Drosophila melanogaster: one gene and its partners. The protein of the gene in region 2 interacts with the protein of the main gene of each other region in a pairwise test. Each region holds a gene or a part of one and is shown on either strand. Other genes may lie near its edges.

The links. The genes of interacting proteins can lie anywhere in the genome.
Region 1: the proteins of su(Hw) (region 2) and Topors interact in a two-hybrid assay, tested with the Drosophila melanogaster proteins (one study listed by BioGRID).
Region 3: the proteins of su(Hw) (region 2) and mod(mdg4) interact in a two-hybrid assay, tested with the Drosophila melanogaster proteins (8 studies listed by BioGRID).

The regions. Positions count from the first base shown.
Region 1 is NT_033778.4:18,970,868-18,978,872, reverse strand, and holds Topors (topoisomerase I-interacting protein), read right to left. Parts: upstream 6,262-8,005; 5' UTR 5,935-6,261; exon of another isoform or gene 5,876-5,934; 5' UTR 5,547-5,875; coding exon 5,151-5,546; intron 5,091-5,150; coding exon 4,630-5,090; intron 4,563-4,629; coding exon 3,148-4,562; intron 2,981-3,147; coding exon 2,136-2,980; 3' UTR 1,611-2,135; downstream 1-1,610. Other genes in the region: CG18605 (uncharacterized protein), read right to left, coding at 1-857, 933-1,045; CG15107 (uncharacterized protein), read left to right, coding at 6,440-6,628, 6,687-7,044, 7,098-7,282; prod (proliferation disrupter), read left to right, coding at 7,865-8,005. UniProt on the Drosophila melanogaster protein: Functions as a ubiquitin-protein E3 ligase. Negatively regulates the transcriptional repressor hairy/hry by promoting its ubiquitination and subsequent degradation. Also directs the nuclear organization of the gypsy chromatin insulator.
Region 2 is NT_033777.3:14,302,739-14,311,402, forward strand, and holds su(Hw) (suppressor of hairy wing), read right to left. Parts: upstream 5,852-8,664; 5' UTR 5,538-5,851; intron 5,471-5,537; exon of another isoform or gene 5,297-5,470; intron 5,233-5,296; 5' UTR 5,218-5,232; coding exon 4,360-5,217; intron 4,294-4,359; coding exon 3,866-4,293; intron 3,809-3,865; coding exon 3,676-3,808; intron 3,606-3,675; coding exon 3,415-3,605; intron 3,347-3,414; coding exon 3,222-3,346; intron 3,161-3,221; coding exon 2,070-3,160; 3' UTR 1,717-2,069; downstream 1-1,716. Other genes in the region: IFT54 (intraflagellar transport 54), read left to right, coding at 1-34, 94-656, 722-1,672; Polr2I (RNA polymerase II subunit I), read left to right, coding at 6,449-6,838; CG31321 (uncharacterized protein), read left to right, coding at 7,778-8,201. UniProt on the Drosophila melanogaster protein: Component of the gypsy chromatin insulator complex which is required for the function of the gypsy chromatin insulator and other endogenous chromatin insulators.
Region 3 is NT_033777.3:21,373,292-21,379,103, forward strand, and holds the start of mod(mdg4) (modifier of mdg4), read right to left. Parts: upstream 4,111-5,812; 5' UTR 3,997-4,110; intron 3,786-3,996; 5' UTR 3,742-3,785; coding exon 3,528-3,741; intron 3,451-3,527; coding exon 3,311-3,450; intron 2,622-3,310; coding exon 1,769-2,621; intron 285-1,768; exon of another isoform or gene 1-284. UniProt on the Drosophila melanogaster protein: Component of the gypsy chromatin insulator complex which is required for the function of the gypsy chromatin insulator and other endogenous chromatin insulators.

The DNA.
Region 1 (8,005 bases), on a different chromosome or scaffold from region 2:
CGGTCGATGAGGCATGCTGAGGTCCTGATTGCTGTCCCGACTGCTGGGGTTGGTGAACCGCTCGTTGCTGAGTCTGGATCACCGCCTGCGTTAGCTGAGGGAGGAGCAGCTGGGCAGGCTGAGCTGCTGCCTGCTGGACCTGAGCCTGTGGCTGTGCCTGGACCTGGGCCTGAGCCTGGGCCTGAGCCAGAGCCTGGGCCTGAGTCTGAGCCTGAGTCTGGGCCTGGGCCTGAGCCTGTGCCTGGACCTGAGCCTGTGCCTGGGCCTGAGCCTGGGCCTGGGATTGAGTTTGTTGATTCACCTGACCCTGGTTAGGTGCATTAGCTTGTGAGCTCGGTATGATTCGGGCTGTCACCAGCTGTCCGTCCATCTTCATCAAGAACGGAGCACCACCATAGCGCTCCATCATCATATCGTCGAGCTCGCCGAAATCCTCATCCTCCAGCTCCAGATCCGCCTCAAAGCCACCGCAATCGTCGTAGTTGATGCGGCGCGTAAATTCTACAAAGCTGTGCAGTCTCGTCGACAAAAACTCGCGATCCCTGGACTTCGCCGACGTAGTAGGACCATTATCAAAATCCAACAAGGCCCGGTACTGTGTGCTGCACTCATAGGCCATTAGAGTGTCGTACGGGGAACGGGCAAAGTTGATCAGTTCGTGGATGAAAAGGTCCGTATTGGCGCCAAAAAAGTGGATCATGGGCTTTCGGAACTCCTCGCTGTCCAGCTTAAGACGTGGAAGCAGATTCTTGATGGTCTCGTACAGATAGAAAATATCCGCCTTCCTGGTCCTGATCAGCACCGATACATCGCGGTTCACCCACATCATTACCCTATGAACCTCGAAGGGATTGAGACTACAAGGAAATGCAGAAATGAGAACATGGCTGAAATTTCCCTTATTTGTATTGGAGGAGGAAATTTTCACTCACCGGAAATATTCGGGGGACCAGCCGCGAAAGTCGCCCGTTTCACGATCCGGCAGAGAATATAGCGAATTGGCGTAGACATATATGCGCCATTGGACCATGTGCCGTGGCATCATTGTTGCTGCACTCCACGTGTCGACAATGTCGAAATTGTTCGAAGAAAAAACAGAAACAGAAACTTTACACGTGAACGAAAATTCCTGGAATTGTCAATCACAAATTCGATTTAATACTGATTTCACTGCTCACTGTCGCTCGCGAAATGGAACTTTTCCAGCTGTGCAATATGATACAGTATTTACCTTATAGGAATTAAACAATTAGCTCGTTCTTTAAACAATTCCAATTGAAACTCAGCGAAAAAGTTTTGCTTATTGCGCAGGCACAACGGCTCTGTGGCACGTTTTTATTTGGGGCGCATCTACACGATGCCTAATGTCAAGTGTGGAAAGTAAGGGACTGTTTAGACAATGCCATAAATTAACCTGCAAATCGTGACAAATCGGGACATCGGAAATCGAATATACTCTGAAATCACTGGAAACATTGAATTGAAACAAAATATGCATAAATTTAACAAAAAAAAAAATGCGCAAGGTGCCTATGCCGGGGGGCATCCTTGATCCAATGAGAATTACTTTTAGAACTTTACGAAATATGAAATGACACTTATTTATCTTTAATTTAATCTTTACATTTATTATGTATTTGATTCGTATTACAGATATCTTTTGTTCATTGTATGTTGAGTACACTAAAATTCATAACTGGCCACGCCCACTTATGCAAAAAACATTAACACCCTCCTCATACATTGATCAGCGCTAATTCTACGATTTAAAAGCTACGATAGTAAAGTTAGTTGCCATTGTTTATAGTTAGTTAGTTATAGATGCCGCTAACCTACGTGAATACATTTACAATCGATGTTCTTCAGGGGGATATTGAATGCGTCTTTTGATGTGGAAGGGGGGGGGTGGTATATGTATGTATGACAGAACATTTAAATAATGTTGGGATGGGTGTTTATATATGTATGTACAACTTAAAATGGCAATCTTAGGCCTACAATACATGAGTTACAATTACAAATATTATTTTATGGGGTTTGGGGATTTCAGGAATCGGAACAAGACAAGACGGAAACCAGTTAAACATTCCCTTACACTAGCAACTTAAATGAAAATCTAAATCAGTGGCTTATGCTTAATACGGCAGTAGTCCCTGATTCTCATCGTTTTCATCGTGGTTGTCGCTATCATCGTCGTCCTCCTCCTCTTCCTCTTCTTCCTCCGCAGCTTTTTCCTCTTCCTGGTCGTCTTCCTCTTGATCTTCATCCTCTTCGTCCTCCTCATCTTGTTCTTCGGTGGCAGTGGCTGTATCCTCGGCGATTTGCAACTCTGATTCGCCAACTACATCGATTGCGGCCTCCAGCGAATAGGCATCCCGTTCACGGCTGGCCTCCGGATCCGCATCTGTATCGAAATAGTTCTCTAGATTGGCGTCATCCGCCGCCAAAGTTTGTGGGCTGTCGCACAACGTGTTGCTCAGCATGCCCATGGAATTCTCTGCCGAATTATAATGCTCGTTGAAGAGTCCGATGTTCACAGGCTGCGTTAGAGTGGACAGTTCGATTAGGGAGTTGGCTATGTCGTGCTCTTCCATCGCCGGATGTCCGCGCATCAGCGGATCGCCGGAAAAGCCCGCTGCTCCCCAGGCAAACGAACTTAATGGAGCCGAGCTCGAGGTGGCTGTCGAACTGCTGGCCAAACTGGCACTCTGGCTGGACTGATTGCTGTGGCTGCAACTGCGTCGCCGTTTCGGTGCACTGCAACCCGGTTCGTTATCCTCTCTCGGCGATGGAGTCATCCGTGAGTGGAGGGGCCCCGCCTGGTCGTCATCCGGCAACTGAAGCTCCAGTTTTACAGGTTTCCTATCCTCCAGAGTTGCCTCCGCTTTTAGTGTGGCGCGCAAGGCACTGAGCTGCATGTTTACAGCGCTATCATCATCGGAATCGCTGCTGGATTTGTTGTTGTTCGTGTTGGGTTGACCTAGAAAACAAATTTGTGTAATTATACAAGTTTGATCTGATAGGATAATAAATAGTTTTTTGATTGTTTTTAGAGATCATTCTAGTGTTTTCCTGTTCAGAATGTGTGGTGTTATACATACATTCATACATGCTGATAAGAACCGTCTAGATTCACAAACCACTTACCGGATGACTCGCTGCTATCGCCACCTGACTCGTCATCGGACGAACTTGGACTGTCACTGCTGCTTTCCGGTTGGCGCTGGGGCTTCTTTTGGCTTATCTGCTGCTGCTCAAGCATTTCCATATTCTGGTCTTTGGCCTTCCGTTTACGAGATGTCCTTTTCCCGATTGACTCCTTTTTAGAGCGCTTATTATTCGCCACTCGCTTGCGTGACTTTTTCTTGGGTGGCTCGGAGTTGGTGGTACTACTGTCACTGCTATCCTCATCGCTGCTGCTGCTGAAGTGAAAGGAGGAGCTGCTGCAGCTGCTGGGGCTGCTGCCACTGTCACTGCGGGCAGGCATGGATGAACGGCGTGATTTCTTCGAACGTATAGAGCGCAGCGTGCGCAACTGATCGAGGCGCCGTGTCTGCGCCATGACCAGCTTCCAGTTCTTGCCTCTGTTGGCCGCTGCGCCACTTGTGCTGGGCCCCATAAACAGGCCCTGATCCCTGGAGGCCAGATCCAAAGGGGATTGTGTCGACCGGTTTTCGGCAATTGCGTCCGGCGCAGCTTCGTGCTGCTCATTTACGAACACCACATCGGAGTCACTATTTGAGTCAAGGCTCACCTGTTCGGGAGTGCGCATGTGTGGTGGCTTCAGCTCCAGCACAAAGACGCACTCATCCTCATCGCCGGAACTGCTGCTGCTCTCCAGTTCGATGTGCGCCGTCACTGGAAGAGTAGCACCTGCGTGTCTCCTACTGGTGTTGCTGCCATCATTGATGGCCGCCACCTCTGCATTTGCGGCCGCATCGCCGTCGTCGATCTCGATGACCTCTGGTTCCTCGCTGGCAACCGCCGCTGGGCGCCTCATGCTCAGGTTAATGGCAACCGTTTGTGAGCCCACATTGGTTGTACGGCGTATGGAAATCCCCGGCAGCTCACTGCCATCACTGGCCATTGTCACGCTGAAGGAATGTGTGGCACCAGGATTGGTCACAATCACACTGGTCGACGGGCGTACCCTAGGGGGGCTCCAATCCGGAGAGAAGCCAGCGTTTATAGCATCCGCATCGCTATCTCCGACCTCCAAATTCAGATCATCACCGTTCGAGGATTGTGTCTCCACCATGTCCAACAGATCCACCTCCACCTCCTCAGCCACTCGTGCCGAATACTGCACCACATGATCGTAACCGTTTATGTCATACGGGGAGCGGGCAAAGTTAAACAGTTCGTGGATAAAGTGACTGGTGCGCTCGCCGAGATACGGCGACAGCCGTCGACGGAATGTAGGACCTAGTAAGCTAGTCATGGGCAGGAGGTCGCTCATCAGAGTCATCACAGTATTTACGCTATGTGCGGCATTCCTCAGTAGGCACATGATGTCGCGATGGATCCAAGGCATCAGGCGATGAATCTGAGCAGGATTGTTTCTATAAGCAAGGATTTGAAATCGAAATCAGTATGGTTAAGTATGCGGTTTTAGGTATACGAACAGACCTGTAAAAACGGGCGCTCCACTCTCGAAAGTGTCCAGTCACGCTGTCGCTGACGGGCAGAGCATACAGCTTTCTATCGTACACATAACGTCGCCAGAGCTGGCTCAATGAACCCGACGTGGATGCATCCTGATCGTGCTGGTAGTAATTCATCAGCTCCGAGCGATACGGCTCAAAGCGGCTGTACGATCGCCTGCCAGCTGCTACTTCTGCCGCCGAAAGCACATCTTCACCAGCAGCTCCTGCCGCTATGGCCGCCTCGATGTCGTTGACAATGACGGCCTGGTTCTGCACCAGCGGCGTGTACCTGGGACGCCTCACAATGTGGTAACGTAGGGAGGGATTTTCTGTTGGAACCGGCGACGTAGTCTGCACCGGGTAGCGATCGTAGTCGTCCAGGGTGCGGACATTGTGTATGATGGTTCTGAAGGGCTGCTTACACAGTGGACACTCGGGCTTTATCTGCAATCGAGAATAATTAGATGGTTAAAATAATGGTTTACTCGCCTGCGGACTGGTTACCTTGCTCCACTCGCACAGGCACTTGAAGCAGAACTGGTGCATGCACGAGTCCGTGAAGCACTTCCTCCTGCAGCGGGACAAGCAGATGGCGCAATTGGGCGGCGGCGAGTTGCGCTCTACTGTTCCGTTCTCCTCCGCGGCGGATGCACTGGTGCCCGGCTCACCGATGGCGTTGGCATTATCCGGGCCAGCGGATACAGGTTCCTCGGCCTCGTTGTCTCCCGACTCACTGCCGCTCTCGGTGAGATCAGCAAACTTAATGGCCGCAGCCGGTAGCGTCCGGCCTCCGGCATTGGATCCTTCCAAACCAGGCTCCACAATCACCGATGCGCCCAACTCATCCACTCCCAAATAGGGCACGTTGGCGGCAAGAGCTCCGGGATTCTCCTCCGCCATTCTGGCGACTATATAGCGGCTATATGGGCTGTAAAATCGGCCGTAAGATGGGCGAGAACTCGGGCCTGAAGTTTTGTGTCTACTCTGTCCTCCTCTCTCTCTCACTCTGCTCCTCTCGCCCTCTCTCGCTCGCACTCGCTGGCTGGCACGCTACTCTATCATCTGGTTCGCAATTCGGTTCTCAATCCTCGTTTTCCAGCGGCCTTTTCCGGGCTAGGGGACGCATTATCCGTATTCTCTTGCGGTCTATGTGGTGGTCAGTGGCCTGTTCTGTAAAATAGCACAATTTTCGGGCCAGAAATCGCACTATATCTCAGTTAATTTTACACCTGAAAATGCAGGAAACTTGATTTTTTTGACCACTACGGTGATACCGTTCGTCGCGTACAGTTAAATGCTGCAGACCACGGAGATTGATATACTTTTGAATTACTTCAGAATACAAATTTTAAATAAAAAAGGTTTGGAAAATATGTTGAGTCAGCGGTTCTACTAGCTGTTCTACCCTCTGATTGAACTTGATTGAAAAAGCAGGACTAGCTTTGTTACAAAAATTACGAAATACACAAAAAATGCTTAAAGAACTAGACCAATTTATTTTATAAATTGAAATGTGATATTTTGAGAAAAATAAATATTTTTAGATGTATTACACAATCTTGTGAGATTGTGGCGCGGGTAAATTACAAATTCCAAGAAACTTCTTTTCGAACCTAGGAGAACCAAACAATTATTTTGATATTTTCTAAAATAGTTTGGTATTTCGGTTTTGGTATTTAATTTCGGAGCCTTAATTGTTTGTGTTATCGATAGCTCGTTGCTTTATTGCCTTTTTGTGGCGTCTGTTTCAATTTGTTTGTTTTCAATTGTTGGTCATAATTTGGATCCCCAAAATGAATCGACGCAACAAGCGGACGTCGTACTACCAATACGAAGTATACCTAGACTTCATGGAGGAGAATCCCCCGATGTCGGCCAACAAACTGAGTCGCACCCAGGACGGCAAGAAGTGGAAGGAGCTCAGCGATCTGCTAAACAAGTGCTCCACGGGTCCCACTTTGTCGCCCGAGGAATGGCGAAAGGTATGTTGTAACCAGTTGGGTATCGAGTGTACAAGCCCACAGTGTGTCATGCTTATAGCGCCTCAACGACTGGAAGAACAGCACGCGCTCCAAATACCGACGCAGCATCAACTCGGATGACAAGAGCAATGCAATGACTCCTCTGGAGAACAGAGCCCTGCAGATCTTCTCCTTAGAACCGAATTTTCGCGAGGGAATTTCGATGCGCCTGCACGAACTGATGGAGGAGCAAGAGGAACTGGATGAAGAAGAGAATGAGAACCTGGAGGAGTTGGTGGATGAGGAGGAGGAGGAGGAGGTGCAGTACCAGCAGTTCATAGCAGAGCCTCACGAGCAAGCCAACCCAACGATCATCAATGGTCACAGTGCCGCGAAAAAGCTAAGGCTCGATGGTTCCAGTGAGATTATCTACGAAGGTGGGTAGACGCAAATCTAATGTAAATACTAAATATCCTATAAAGGGACATAGCCTTGATTTCAGTCGCGGATGTCACATCTGATCAATCTGCCGCGAAAGAACCGTCTGCCTTCTATGGAGAGAAAATCCAGGAGCAGCTGAAACGCATTTCGGACATACACGAGGCATCGCTGCACTTTAAGATAGCCCGCTTCAAGTACAATAATCCCGGATTCGAGTACGTTCCGGAATTATAGCCCATGCTAGCCATGCACATTGATATAATGTATAATGTAATATAATATGTGAGCTCAGAGGGACCTGCTGATTTCGCCTCGAATTAAAAGCCGCGGAACGCTCAATAAGTAGTACAGTAGGCATTCGTTGAAAACAAATTCTTGAGTAGTGTGTACCATATACCAATTAGTCGTTTTTAAGACTGTTGTTATGCATATCGTTCGACGAAATACTTTTTGCACATATATTTTGAAATGTATTATTGATTTATATGAAACCGCTAATAAATATTGTGACAAATCATTTCTGAATCCGCATGTTTTTATTGCAACAAAATTGAATTATTTATTGCACATCTAGCCATAACTATCGCATGGCATCTAATTGCTTTTTTGGCTTCCCGCCAGATGCGCACCACTGGCGTGCCGAATGCAACCCTGCGCCAACAGCAACAAAATGCAACTAGAAAATCCCAAACGCTAAATGCGTAAATTGTTTGTGAACATCTCGCATCGCTTGGTGGCGTCGATTTGCATTTTAGGGCTTTTGCCAGCTATTTAAACACGGCATCGAGCACGCAGGCACAGAGCAAGGATACCCGGATGAACGGCAAGATGGACCGCCGCAAGAAACGCACCTCATCGGAGCAGTACCAAATGTACATCGACATGATGGAGAGCGACCCCATTTTCGCCACCGGACGAGTGCCGCGCGACTATGACCTGAACTACTTGACCAAAAAG
Region 2 (8,664 bases):
ATTCGATTTCTGCAGAAGATGATCGATGCAACCAGTGAGTTTGGCTTACAATGCTGGTGCTCTGAATTAGCTACAAGGTGTTTGCTTTCGCAGAACTAACAACCAAACTGGATCTCAAAGTACGCACTTCAAAAATAGTTGCTGGCCAGGAACCGGAGCTCACCAATGAGCTCCTCCAGGCGATGGCCAGTGTTGCGGAAAAGAACTTGGAGTGGGACAGCATTGTGGATCAGGTGGTGATTTCCCACAGCAAAACACCACTGACGCTTACCAAGCCACCGAAGGAAACTAAAAATTCAAGCAAAAATCCCTCACCCGCCGGCAAGGATGAGGATGCAAAGCGACGCAAGGAGAAACGTATATCGCCTCAAGAGCAGAAGCTGCGCAAGGTCAAAGAACAGGTGTCCCGTTCTACTCCCCCCACCGAGAAGGATAAAGCATCCCAGAAGAAGTCCAAGGCACCCAAGGATGAGACGAAGTTAAGTCGACAAAACTCGAAGCAAAAGAGTCCGTCACCAGTTAAGCAGAAGTCCAAAGCCAAACTGCAGCCTTCAACAGAGAGCGATAATCTTAGCCAGTCTATGTCGCCAGTGGAAGAAGGATCAACCAAGCCTGCTGCAAGCGAAAGTGCTCCAAGCAAACCAGAGCCGGAAATGGTAAGAAAAATAAGTTAATTTGCTTTAAAATTAGAAATCCATAAGTTATGCGTATACCCAAACAGGTTCCTCCATTAAAAGAGAAGGAGGCAGTGGTGAGACCTGTCCAGGAAACTCCAACTGCTCCACCAGCTGAGCCTGAGAGTCGCAAATCCTCTAGCAGAAGTCGCCGTTCTAGTGGCAGCCACAGGCAACCGGAACCTAATCCCATTCCCAATGAGAGCCAATCCCAGCCAGCGGTGCAGTCGTCAGAAACCAGCTCTCCACCGGAGACCAACAGCGGCGAAGCGAAGCGGGAGGTTCCCCTCACCAGAGAGAACTCTAAGGAAGTGAATCAACGGCCCAGAACCTCACTTAGACCTCCATCCGCTCGACCCGCCTCCGCACGTCCCGGAGCTCCACGACGTCGCAATGTGGAGATCGTGCTCCAGCCAAACGATCAGATCAAAATGTCGGGCATAAATGTAAAGCTTGAAACCTTTGGCGACTTGGACGACGACGGAGAGAACCTGGTGATCATAGAAGATTCCGCCGCCCATGATATTGTCGAAGGTGGCGGTGACGAACCGGCATTGGAAGGACAGCTCGATGCCCAGGGACGATTGGTGCAGCAGATCTTGGAAACGCAAAAGGAACTGGTCAATCAAGGCGCCGAAGTGGAACCGCCTCCAGCACAGGCAGGCCGACAAACTTCTGCGCGCCAGGTGAACGACGTACGCGACGTAGTCCAAAAGCTCACCAAGTCGATAGGTCCGCTGGGTAAACTACTGGACTGCATACCCGAGGATTTTGATGCAATGCAGCTGGAGCTTACGATGTGGCGCGACACCTACACGCAGGCATCCACGGAACTAAAAAGGGAGCAGACTCTCACGGCATCTGCCACGGAGCCCCTGCAGCATCAGTTGCAGCAAATCCAAGCCAGCATTGCGGAGTACCGGGAGCTAATCGACGAGAGTCGCCACAAGATCTTGCAAAACAACGCACGTATTCTGAAGTTGATGATGGAACAGTAAGCATTGAGGATTAATAAGCATTGTTAAAAATTCAAGAGAGTTTTATCGAAAATATTGAATTTGTATATTTTATAATTAATAAGAGTACTATAAAAATAGCCATGCATATATTGCTTGGTAACATCATTCAATTCAAAAATATATAAAATCTATATAATAATATCAAAATATCTTTGATATGTAATATGTTGGTTTGTTTGTTTTTGGGTAATTTGTCAATGCGCAAGATGTCTGAATATTCAAGCAACAGACGGTAAGTTTCTCTTTTAAGGTCACTTGGTGTTTGTACCAAAACCAACGATCTTAAAAATACAAATGTTGTAAAAATCATCAACGATCAATTCCTAGAATATGGTTTTTGTGCGGTAATTGTACGCATGCATCAAGGGCTGGAAAATCAAGCTTTCTCTTGTTCGCCTACAGGTTTTTTCTTATTTTCCCGGACCACCTCCTCTGAGTTATCCTTATCCACAGCTTTCCCCACGATCTCCTTCTTTTCAGATTTCGCCGAAACTTCCTTCTTTTCCGGTTTCTCTCTGATTTCATTTGTTTTAGTTTCGCCTGTGACCGACACCGCTTCTTCATCACCTGAATGTGACTCATTGTCTTTGTCCAATCCACCTTCGTCCTGATCCTCATCTCCCAGTACATATTCGATCACATCGTCGATGGGGAAATTATTGAGCAGCGACTTGATGGAATCGTTGTGAATGACCACGGTAAAGAGCAGTTTGCAGTACTCTCGCATGCGGCTACCGTAGTCAAGCTCAGCGTAGTTTTCGCCACCTTTGGTTAGGTCGTGGCCACAGTTCTCGATCACTTTGCAGAGCACCGTCTCCTCGGGGGCATTGGGCCAGCCGTATTTCTTTAGGATCGGTGGATCCACTAGCATATCAATAAGTTTACCCACATTCTCTTTGAGCTTTATGTCCTCCTCAGTTAGAATTTCGCCACTGAAGTCATCCTCGCTACATGATTCTTCCAAATTATCTGCGATGGCAGCGGCCAGACTGGCGGCCAGGGATTTACGCTGCTCTTTCTTTACCACCGGCGAGACCTGCGCCTCCTCCTTCTTCGCCTCGGGCTTAACGCCAGCCTCATCCGTCAGCTGCTCTCCCTCGATGGCCCCGTCCAGGGGCAGAATTGTGTATGTTTCGTTTTCTAGTGTAATGGTCTGGGCCGCGCCATCGCCTTCGTCCACGAGGAATTCACGCACCACAACGCCATTCCCGTCCGTTTGGCTAGAAATTAACGAGCCCGCCGATGTGTTTAACGCCACTGGTACAACCTCCTCCGATTCGATGTCCTTCTTTGCCCGCTTTGATGGATGCGGCTCAACGCCAAAAATGTCATCCGGATCGCATTCGTGAACGGTGCGTATGTGCCGTCGCAGGGTATCGCTGCTGTCAAAGTTCTTATCGCAAATGGCGCAATCCGTGCGTTCCATAATTTTGACGGCCGATCGCATTGATGACCGTTGTTGTTTCGCTACAAAGGGTAGGAGCGGGATTAAAGCCTTGATTATTGCCAATTGTCGATTCCAACTTACGGCTGTGTTTTCCCTCGTCCATATGCTCCTTGAGCAATGCTGGAGTGCGGAAATTACGCTTGCACTCGGCGCAGGAAAAGACGGGGCGTTTTGTGCGAGAATGGGTCTTCACATGGCGCTCAAGTCTGCGAAACAAAATTGCAATAAGTAAGTAGGGCTAACAGAAAAGATAAAAGGTTTTTTAATATCTTACTGTTTCTCTGTTTTGAATTTTTCGTCGCATTGCTCACAGGGAAAGGGGCGAATATGGGTTTTGGAATGGGTGCGCAGCTGGGTGGCCTGGATAAAACTCTTGCCACATTCATCACACTTGTGCGGACGCTCTCCAGTGTGCCGTTTCATGTGACGATTGAGCACTTCCTTTACGGCAAATGCTTGGTTGCACTAAAAGGTAATAGAATACCGCATTGTTACAATAGGTTAAATGAAAAGTTACGGAAGTTTTAAGACTAACCACAGTGCAACTGTATGGTTTCTCGCCAGTGTGATAGCGTCGATGCTTTTTAAGGGCCACCAATGCAGAAAACTTCTTGTCGCAAAGATCGCAGTCAAATGGTTTCTCCCCCGTATGAGTGCGTATGTGAATGCTGCGAAAATATACCGAACATTACTTTATGTCTTTTAAAATCAATTAGAAAACCTACTTCAGCGTGGACAGGCTGTAGAAACAATTCTTGCACGTGTGGCACATGTACTCCGGCTTTTTAACCACCTGTGTACCCAAATGCTGCTTCAAATGCGATCGCAGGTTGTCCAGCCGATAGAAGACACGATCGCACACCTTGCAGCTCATGGTATCGGTCTCGTTCGATGAGCACGATGAGTACTTCTGGTGGCGCTTCAAGTGGTACGAGCGGGTGAAGTCCTTGCCGCAGATCTTGCATGCATACGGCTTGCCACGTGACTTGTGCTGTTCCTCGTGGAGCGCCAACAAGGCCTCGCTGCGCAAGTTGGCATTGCAAATGGAGCAAGGAAAATCGCTGAACTCGGAGTGAGTGATGAAAATGTGGCGTTCGTAACTGGTCTGTGTCTTAAACGACTTGGGGCAGTCGGGACAGTTAATGTGACCCAGCTGAAAGGAAAATGTGGTATGCGAAAGTTATGCTTACTTCTCTTGGTATCAATCTTTATGACTTACATGGAAGGTGTCGTAACTTTCGCTGCAGCAGAAGCATATGTCCTTCTTCTCCATCACCACGGCATCCTTCTCGATCTTCTCCAGGTTCTTAAGCATGTCGGCTTTGCGCAAATGATACCCACTGTCATAGCGACAGAACTCTAGATGCTTTTTCAGACTCTGAACGCGACGGAAGGTCTTGTAGCATTTGCCACACACATGCTCCACGATCTCCTTGATCTTTGTCTGGCTAGAGTTGCCCTTGCCTGAGGAGTCTTCACCGTCCTCATCACCATCCTCCCCTAGATCCTCATCGTCCTCGGTGACAACGATCTCCTGGCCGTTGTTATTTTCTATTCTGCCCGGAACTACTTCCTCATCATCCGCTAGAATGAAATCAATGGTGTCATCTTCTTCGGTGACCACGGTAACCGTGGTGTCCGCCTTGGTATTTTCTGATTTCACAGCCTGAAGTACATAGTGCTCCATTTTCTTTCTTTTACTGGGAGACGTCTTGATCTTGGTAGTTTCCACGGCTGTCACGGTAGCACTGGGTGTCTTTTTCTCGTTCAGAATCTTCACAGTGGAAGCAGCCGGAGCTGTGCTCTTTGTGGCGCCCCGTTTCTCAGTTTTCGGAGTGCCCAGTATTTCTTCATTGAGTATTTTGATGCGCGATCCAGCGACACTGCCACGCTTCTCCTGCTTGTTGGAGGGAGTTCTTGATGTGGTAGTAGTAGTGCTTGCCTCCGAATCCTCACCAGCTCCCACGTCATTCAAGAGCTTCATCCTGGTGGCGGGACGTTTGTCCTTAGGCGGCGAAATGTTTTCCACACCCAGCAGCTTGCCCTTCTTTTCCTTGCCCTCCTTGGAGGCACTCATGTTGGTGATACCAGCCTGCAATTAAGATCGATTGGATGATAATTCAGGATCAGGATAACCAGTGACCGCTTTAGTCTACTTTTAGGCACGTGATTTACTGAACATCACATTTTGCCAGCGTCACCAACACACGCCCAAAAGCTGCTAAGAAAAAATGGCGTCGCGCTGTTCGATCTTTACGATCGATCGGCCTTGGTGTGAGCGAGACAACACTACCTGCGCCTGACGCACAGAAAACGCAACAAGTTTTCTTCTGAAATAAAATTGTATTTCAAAGGGGTAGCAAATAATTCTAATACACTCGCAAATCCGTAGCATACTTTTCAAATATTTAATGTGATTTTGTGCCGGCGAAGGACGTGGAGGATCGGTTTTAACCACTTATTTTGCTGATTAGAAGTGCACTTTTCTGCTCCGCAGCGAAAGAAAGTGACTGCCATCGCCGATAAAGAGCGTGAAATTATCAAGTCACTGGCTAAGGTATTTGCTTCACAAACATGTCCTCATATCACGGGATGCGTTCCTTAAAGGGTTTTGACCGCATTTCCGATAATAAATCACAATTTACCTAATTTTATGCTTTAAATTCCAACACGACAAGCGTTTGTGTATGAAAATTCAGTGTGACCGTTGCATGTAGGTTGGAAAATACCATTAATTACAACAACCCGTGAAAAAATAATCTGAACATGCCGCCATGAAAAGTACAAAGAAATTTCCTCTGTTTTGAATCTTCTGGGTTGTAAATTTGTAATAATTCCAACATAAATTTAAAATAAATAGCCGGTGTCTGGCTTAATATTATATTAACTTTTTATTGGTTAACTTTGTAAGCATAGATTAATGATCCGAACAATAAAGCTTATATGGAACATTTCACTATTTATATATAATTTCAGTCGAAGGCCACCGCAGCCGTTGCTCGGTAAGATAATTATCAGGTTTAACATTTTATACAAAAAGTAATTGAATAAAATACAAATAAATGCATTCTTTAATATGCATTTTGATAAAATAAAAAACAAAATATATAAGCATATAATTAAAATAGCAGTGCTCACAAGGGTTAAAGGCTAGTATGTTAATGAGGTATACCTATCCCATGATCTCGGTATATTTAAGCCGCCTTGCCACGGTCACACTTTCGCCAATTGCAACGATAAAAAGGTAAATAAAAGCCGCATTAACTCACAAATTGCAATTAACTAGCAATAATTGTAAGCCAATAGCCATGACGACTGCCTTTGATGCCGCACACACTGAGGGGCCGGGATTCGTGGGCATTCGGTTCTGCCAGGAGTGCAACAACATGCTGTACCCCAAGGAGGACAAGGAGAACAAGATCCTGCTGTACGCCTGCCGGAATTGCGATTACAAACAGGAGGCGGACTCCAACTGCATCTACGTGAACAAGATTATGCACGAGATCGACGAGCTGACCCACATTGTGCCCGACGTGATTTCCGATCCCACGCTGCCGCGCACCGAAGACCACGCTTGTCCCAAGTGCTCCCATCGGGAGGCGGTCTTCTTCCAGGCGCAAACTCGTCGCGCCGAAGAGGAGATGCGACTGTACTACGTGTGCACCAACCAGAACTGCACCCACCGTTGGACGGAGTAGAAACTGACGACCCATCTGCCTCTAATTGTAGCCCTAAGTAATCGAAGGCACTTTGCAATCGTACAATTGGAATTCCCCCATGGCTATGCCGCAAAAACATCCCACGTGCAGCTCCATTCTCGGTTGTCGCCTAATGTAATAACATTCGCACTGAAAAAAAATGCATGTGATCCGCATGACTTTGAATCACTTGCAAGAACTTCGATTTGGTTTGTATAAATGTTTAAATAGCTCAGTCTTAAAAATAAATATATAAGTTCATTGCGAGAAAACTGCTGTATCATCTTACTATATGTTTTGGCAAAACTACTTAATTTCAATGATCAAATGTTCAAGTGCAGTTGAGAAAACAACGAAAGTGTTCCGGGTTTATGATAAAATTTAGCAGGTTAAGCTGCATATTTAGGCAACATAAACTGCAAAACCAGATTTCATAGTTATAAACTTAATCAAGTCAGCCCGCTTGTATTCAAATGTCTTCATTATTTATTTATAAATGAATGTGTACTATGACTGACAATCTATGAATGTAAAACTGAGCGAGCAACGAATCTCCCCGAGGCATGTGCGAATTCCACAGTTCACGGCCCGGTGACAATTCTTCATATTTATCATTGTTCTGCTCTAATCGAAGCTGACAACAAACAAAATAAATAAAAAAAATAAGAACCGAAAGCGACGAAGAAATGATTGAACAAGTTTCTTGTGCGTATCAAACGACTGCCCATTTGAGTATTTGAGTAGTAGACCTGGCTTGGCTTGGCCCGATCCCCGGAATCGTCGCTTAGTTTAGTCTGAGCTTAGAACCTGGCGCGACGTGTTGATCAAATCGCTTAAAATGTGCTGCTAGAGCAACCTGCCGAGCCAGAGACGTATCGAATCGAATAGAATCGTATAAAAAATAAGAGTTTTGAGGAATTCAGCAAGTGCTATAAAAAAATGGCAAAGCCAAGGTCATCGGCAGATGCGGCTGGAAATGGCAGTGGAGCAGTGGATGCAGAGCCCAAGCTCAACTATTTCCAGAAACTGTGGCGCTATCGCCACTATCTGGTCATCGAGCCCTTCTTCTTTTTCTACTTCATGGCCTCCGTGTTCAATGCGGTGGCCATGCAGAATTTCCCACTGGACAAGGCGTGTCGCGTGAATCTCGGCTACAACAAGATCGTCTGCGACACAATGCTGGACAAATCGGAGCTGGGCATCGAGTGCGATGACTTTGATTTCGAGAACACCACACAGGGCGCGACGCCGGATCTCGCTGACCTTGTCATCGGAGCCACTGGCTTCAACTACACGGTGTGCAAGGCGGAACTGGAGGCACAGATCCTGGCGGCAGATGTCTCCGGGAAACGAGCTCCCATGGGTAAGCCAGGCGACAAACATACACATATATCATACACATAACACGAGTCGTTCATTAAGTATACGCCGTTTTGATTTCGGTTATGGGTTTGGCATTAGCATTGCTTATATTTCAGGTTTGTGCTTAAATTAAATTCGAATTCTTTTCACATCTCGACTCCTCTGCATTTTAAATTTCCCCTGCCCCTCGAATGGGTTAGGTACACTCGAAAAATAATAGTATTATCAAGTGATAATGGGACTAGAAAGACATTGAGATACTTTACTCAAGCATAAGATTGTAAATATCTTAGAGAACTTTCTTTAAATTGAAATGGAATAGCTATATATACACATTTTCTTTGAGTGCACATTTTTTTCTGAAGGAATCCGTGTCTTTTGATGGATGTCGTCGGAAATTAGCGGTTATCCGAACATCTAATTACCTTCTTTAATCGATTCGCTCATAAGTTTCTCCTTCGCCT
Region 3 (5,812 bases), 7.1 Mb from region 2:
ACTTACCAAAATGCGGCGGGATGGCATTTTACAACTTACGGTAGCATTTGCATCGCTTGGTTTTCAAATAAGCACTATCACAGATTATCAAAAGGGTGGAAATAGGGAGGCGTTGCCCCCCTTACCAGCCCCATCACTTTAAATATTAAATAAACACCACACCAAACACACCGTCACAAGCTGGAAATAATTAATTGTGAACAAATAGGCCGTGTAATTCGGATGCAATAAAATAACAAAACAAATTGGCTTGCATTTTTTTAATGAATTTGCACGGCGTTGCCACACAGCCGAAGCACCAGGGCTGCACATTCAATTAGGGTTTCCGGAAGTGGCAACACCGTCCTCAATTTCCACAAAATGGCAACTCCGCATTAATTCAAATTTTAATTCTTTATTTTTTCATACTACAAATATATATATAATATATTCTGTGGATACTTTCTAAATATCCGGACCAGGCGCGCAAAATATAAATTACACGATTCAAACGTTAATATAAATTTTCTCAAATACGCTTAACAATAAAAAAACGAAAATTACTACTACAAATAAAGGAAATATAAGTCGGAAATGCTTCAAGGCGGTCCAACCTTTTGTTCCAAGGTATATAAACTATCGCCTATATGAATTAAAACGGTTTATGATTATCTCTTACCAATTAGGTAAGAGGTCTAGTATATTCTGTTTTTTTTGTTTAAGGTTACCGCGACATCCGTAAATATCGTGAAATTCTTCAGACACCCTTTAATTCGGAACCATATAAAAAAAACACGCAAAATGTTCCATACAAAAAATTTGGAATGAAAAAACAAAATCAGCACGCAAAAAGTAAAACAGAATCGACGCTGCATGAAGAAATAAATTTCCTCTCCACTGATAACGTTAAAAGAGTCTCCCTATACGTATTATTAAAATCTTTCCTTTTTTTTTTACGTGACCACTAAAACGATTAGAAATGAACCTTTACTATAACACAGCGTTATAAATACAATTTTTTTTTTAAGACTCGGCAATCAATGCCGTTGCTGGATTTGCATCAGCAAGCTTTTACGTTGCTTAAACAAATCCAGACAACATCTTTAAGTACGAGTTTGAAAACATAAATAACAACAAACCTCAGTAGCCTTAGCATCACCAGAGGATCATTATTAAACAGAAATGCGCATGCCCAAATAATAACCCCCTGATCATGTAAGATTGAAAACTCCAATTACTCGCTTTGCTCAGTCAAATAAACAATTACAAATGCCTGCAAATTTTGGAAAAATATATGGATAGGTGTGGTTTTAAGAGTGCCGGTATTACCTTGAGTAGTTGCAGCTCTTCACGGGTTCGGCTTCACGTTGACATCAGATATCCATCGTAGCAGCTTCTTAAAATTTCATCACTCTACTTACCTTTTAACTGAATAAGTGTAAAACCGCGCGATCTCCGTCCAGCATTTAACAAATATGCATCGGACAGCAGATCTGCCTAGTGCTCTTTGTCGATTCGAAATAGAACACAGGCCCGTAAACTACTTATTAACTAATGGCCAGCGAAGTATAGCTTAAGTTTGTTCAAAACAAAATTAAACGCACTTTGCCGAACTCTAAAAGGACATGATCCGCTTGCGACGCTAATAGATTTGGAAAGTGTTCAAGTTTGGAATACATATGTGATCTTTTTTTTAACGTGTTTGCATTTCGCAAGCGGACTTAATGTCCTTTAAATATTGCTTATATCTATTGGCCTCTGGCCATGTATGCTTTGCAATTCAACCAACCTTGAGCCTCTGTGTTGCCCTGATCCCCGCTGGTGTCGACAAACGATGATTCACTGTAGTTCTGGGACTGTTGCTTGACCACAGCCTTGGAAGTGGTCGCCGTCACTCCGCCACCGCTCGTATTTGCCGCAGTCTGGTTGCCAGCATCCTCGTTTTCAGTGAAGTAGCTGTCGTCGTAGCGCATGTCTCCGTAAGTATCGTCCTCCACATAGGTGCCCTCGGCATCGCCGGCGGCGTCGCCATGGTCCTCAGAGTAGTCAGGTTCAGATTTCGTGGGCAATTCCATGGGGAGATCAATGTACTCGGCTTCCTCCTGTCGAACCTGCTGCGGCGATTGCTGGTGGAGCTTTGCTTCTGCCGCAGAGACCACAGAGGTTTGCACGGTGATCTGTTGCGGCACAAGTTGGGCGGTTGTCGTGGCTCCAGTTTCAGTGGTCGAGTCGAGAGGGTCCATAACATTTGCGGAGGTGCTTGTCTTGGAGCGCTTTACGCCGGCGCTCGAGGAGGCGGGGGTCAGGGAGGAGCGCTGGGCAGAGCGTTTGTTTGTCGACACCAGCGTCGCCGTCGTCGTGGTTCCCGTCTGCAGCTGCTGCGATTGGATCTGCTGCGCCGCCTGCTGCGGTTGCTGCTGTTGTACAATGGTGGCTTGGGGTGCGGCCGTGGTCTGGATGACGATCTGGGTGGTGCTCTGTTTCTCGTCGCCCAGGCCGTCGTCCACGGTCTCGATCTTGTAGCGGGCGGAGGCGCGAGGCTGCTGGCGCTGCACCCGCTGAGCCGGTATTTGCTGTTGTTGTACATGAGGTGCTGCTGGCGGCGGGCTGGATTCCTGCGGCGGCTGAGGCGCAGGATCGTTCTGAAAAAAAAATATTGGTTTTTTAATTATTAACATATATTTTAGGAATAAGTGAAAAGATATTTTGTATGTTCTAGCACCTCTTTAAAAATGAACCACGATCAAAACTTAATAAACTTTAAAAGTATCTGCATTTAATAAAATGGACGATTTCAAAACTATATGTTGAAAAGAATTATTCCGTTAGAATGGAATTTGCAAAGAAATAAGAAATCTGGCCATTAATTAGTAAAGTACGCCTTCCTTGAATTGGGAAACAATAATACATTTTCTAGTTCCGATGCCTGTTTCTTTAGGTACAGCTGCACTAAATTTAATTTTGCAAATACGTTAATTTTAGTCGAAAACATTAAGAGATATTTCCCAATTTAAACATTAGTTTAAAAGCAAAAAATGTTTATGCTTTGGCATCGAATTCGCTGCGAGACAAAAACAACCACTCCAATTTGCCGCTGCCGTGCGAGCCAGAGCGAGACAAACGCTTCGCGTATAGCCCCTGCAGTTGTCTCTCTCTGGCACGCGTGCCTTTTGGCATTTGGTTTGCGAGAAATTTCTCGGTACAGTCAAACCATGCTCTTATACAGACGCCAGCCATCGCGTCTGTATGTATTGGGCGCGAAAGGTTGCGTTGTAGTTGCTCGATTCGATATACCAGTATATCACGCACACAAATGTATACATATACTCACATCCGTTAGCCCCTTGATTTGCAGCGATTCCGCGGTGCTAATAAACGCGGGCAGGGCGTCCTGCTTCACGTTGACCTCGCCGCAGTACATGAATTGGATGAGGTCCTTCAGCGCCGAGTGGCTGACGTTGTTCAGGAATACTGCAAGATAGGCGAAGAGAGTATAAGGTAAAAAATCACGTAGAGCTACAGATCTGAGCTGAGGGGCACAAACTCACCGATAGCGTGGGTGTTCGACGGCATCTGAGTGAACATCTTGCGGAAGAAGGGCGAGCAGACGGATAACACCAATCGGTGGGCCTTCACTATTTGGCCCTCGGCGGCCAGCGAGACGTCCACCAGGTCGCCGCGGCATAGCGACTCGTGGAAGCCGGCCGACAAATTCGTGTTGAAGTTGTTCCAGCACAAGCTGAATTGCTCGTCGTCCGCCATCTTGGACGAAAATCAATACTTTTCTGTATCTATGCGTTTGTTGGCTGCAGGCGAAAAAGTGCAATGCGCGTTTAAAACTCAATGCAGCGAGTGCTGAAAAATGGCAAAGGCACACACAAAATAGAATGCACTGCAGCCAAAAAAAACTGGGAAATTTTCACGCGTCTGTCTGTGTGTGCGTGTGTGTAAATTACATTTATCTCGCTTAATGACCGCAACCTACTGTGTATATTCACTTGGGGCGCCATTACTCACCTCTTGACTAAATATTTTTCCAATAAAATAACTAACTAAAGCCAGAGTTTTTTGCTAGCGCGGCCGACACGCAGAACGCGTCCGAGTTCTTTGACGTGAAAATTAGAAGTGTTACCAGGCGACGAGATTGCTGGCGATGGCAAAACAAAAAGTGACAATATATCGATAGCTTAAAATATTTATATCGAAATACTTTTATGAATATTGATAGTTGATGTGCTTTGATATTTTTTTTTTAAATGTTAGTACGAAAATCACATAATTAAGTTCATAACTTTTTGAAAACTTTTACATACTTTAGTTTACATATGCTGTAGGATTTTAGTTTGCGGGTGTGTTAAAAAAGGTTGTAGGACTAAGAAAATATCGGCCTAAGTATACGATGTATTTATGTTATGACGAAATTTCTTATTTCACAACAGTTTTGTTGTCTAGCTTAATGTTTAATTTATTTTAAATGAAATAAAACAAAATACAAATTAACGAGTTTAAAGACTAGCAGTCAAACTAGCACAACTAGAATAAAATTCATAAGATAAACAGAAAAATTTTAACTTTTTTAAATTCTCCTATTTTTTAAACTGGGCCTTCGATTTTTTACGAATGGAGGATTATTTTCTAGCGGAATTCATTATAACTCTGACAAACTCTTATGGAGCGCATCGTCACTACGTAAACCCTACACTCTGAATGCACAAGGGCACTATATTTTTAAAAAAAAAGTGACTTAATAGGATTATAAGAAAGGCAAATATTCGCTAAAAGTTCTTAAACATACCAAACAAAATATGTATGTACATAATATGTATATCTGTGTACTGTATGTACATATGCACTACATATGCAATTATATACATATGTGAACACGTTTTTGGTGCAATGCCAAGATTCGAAATGAAGGTATTCATCCCATAAAGGCGAAATATTATTAAAAATGTTGCTCTATTTAGACAACTTCACATATCCATGTTATTCATCTCTATTAAATCATAACAGTTTCAAGTGAAATAAACAATAATATATGAGAGCGTAACGTTTAAACCAAACATATTCCCCACGATTTATTTATTTGTTAGCTTAGTACACTCTTAAAATCAAGTGTGCGAAAATCTGCACTTGAGCGCCACTTGACAACCGTTTAATACACAAGACGCGCGGACAAACGTAAATACATGGGGACTATAAAACTTAAGGACTTTACGATAATAAATACGGATACTTAAGCTCAAGTAGCGAAACAAAATCAGCATAAAGTGGCTGCGAACAAACAACTAATAACAACGGGGAGCAGCTGGAGGAGTCGGTTATTGAATCTGATAGTCAGGTACAATGTGTGCGATTGTGCAAAGATACTTTCATACATGCATACAAGCATACATGTTTGGAATTAGTGATGGACAGAACTTAAAATATATTGTCAATACCATATATATTCTTAAGCTATTAGATTAAATTTACAAATGTAATACATAAATTAGTTTTTTATATTTGGATACATATTTTATAAATCTCCTAAGCATATGACAGCCTCGCACATCTCTAGCGCAGAAGAGCGAGATGCCGCACTCGCATTCCGATGCTGTGCTGTGATTGGCTCCGGGGCGGCCATTTTGCCCGTATGCTCAGTTCGCTCACACACATCCAAAAACACAGTGGCATGAGGCGGTCTGGGGTGAAAGGAGTACGCGTTCAGTACCAAAATCGAGCTGACAAATTGCAGACACGGTCGAGTGCGCATCGGAACGGCGCTTTACGGCTTACGGGTTACGGACTACTGATTGCCGATTACGGGCTACGACTCACTTACGGTTGCGCT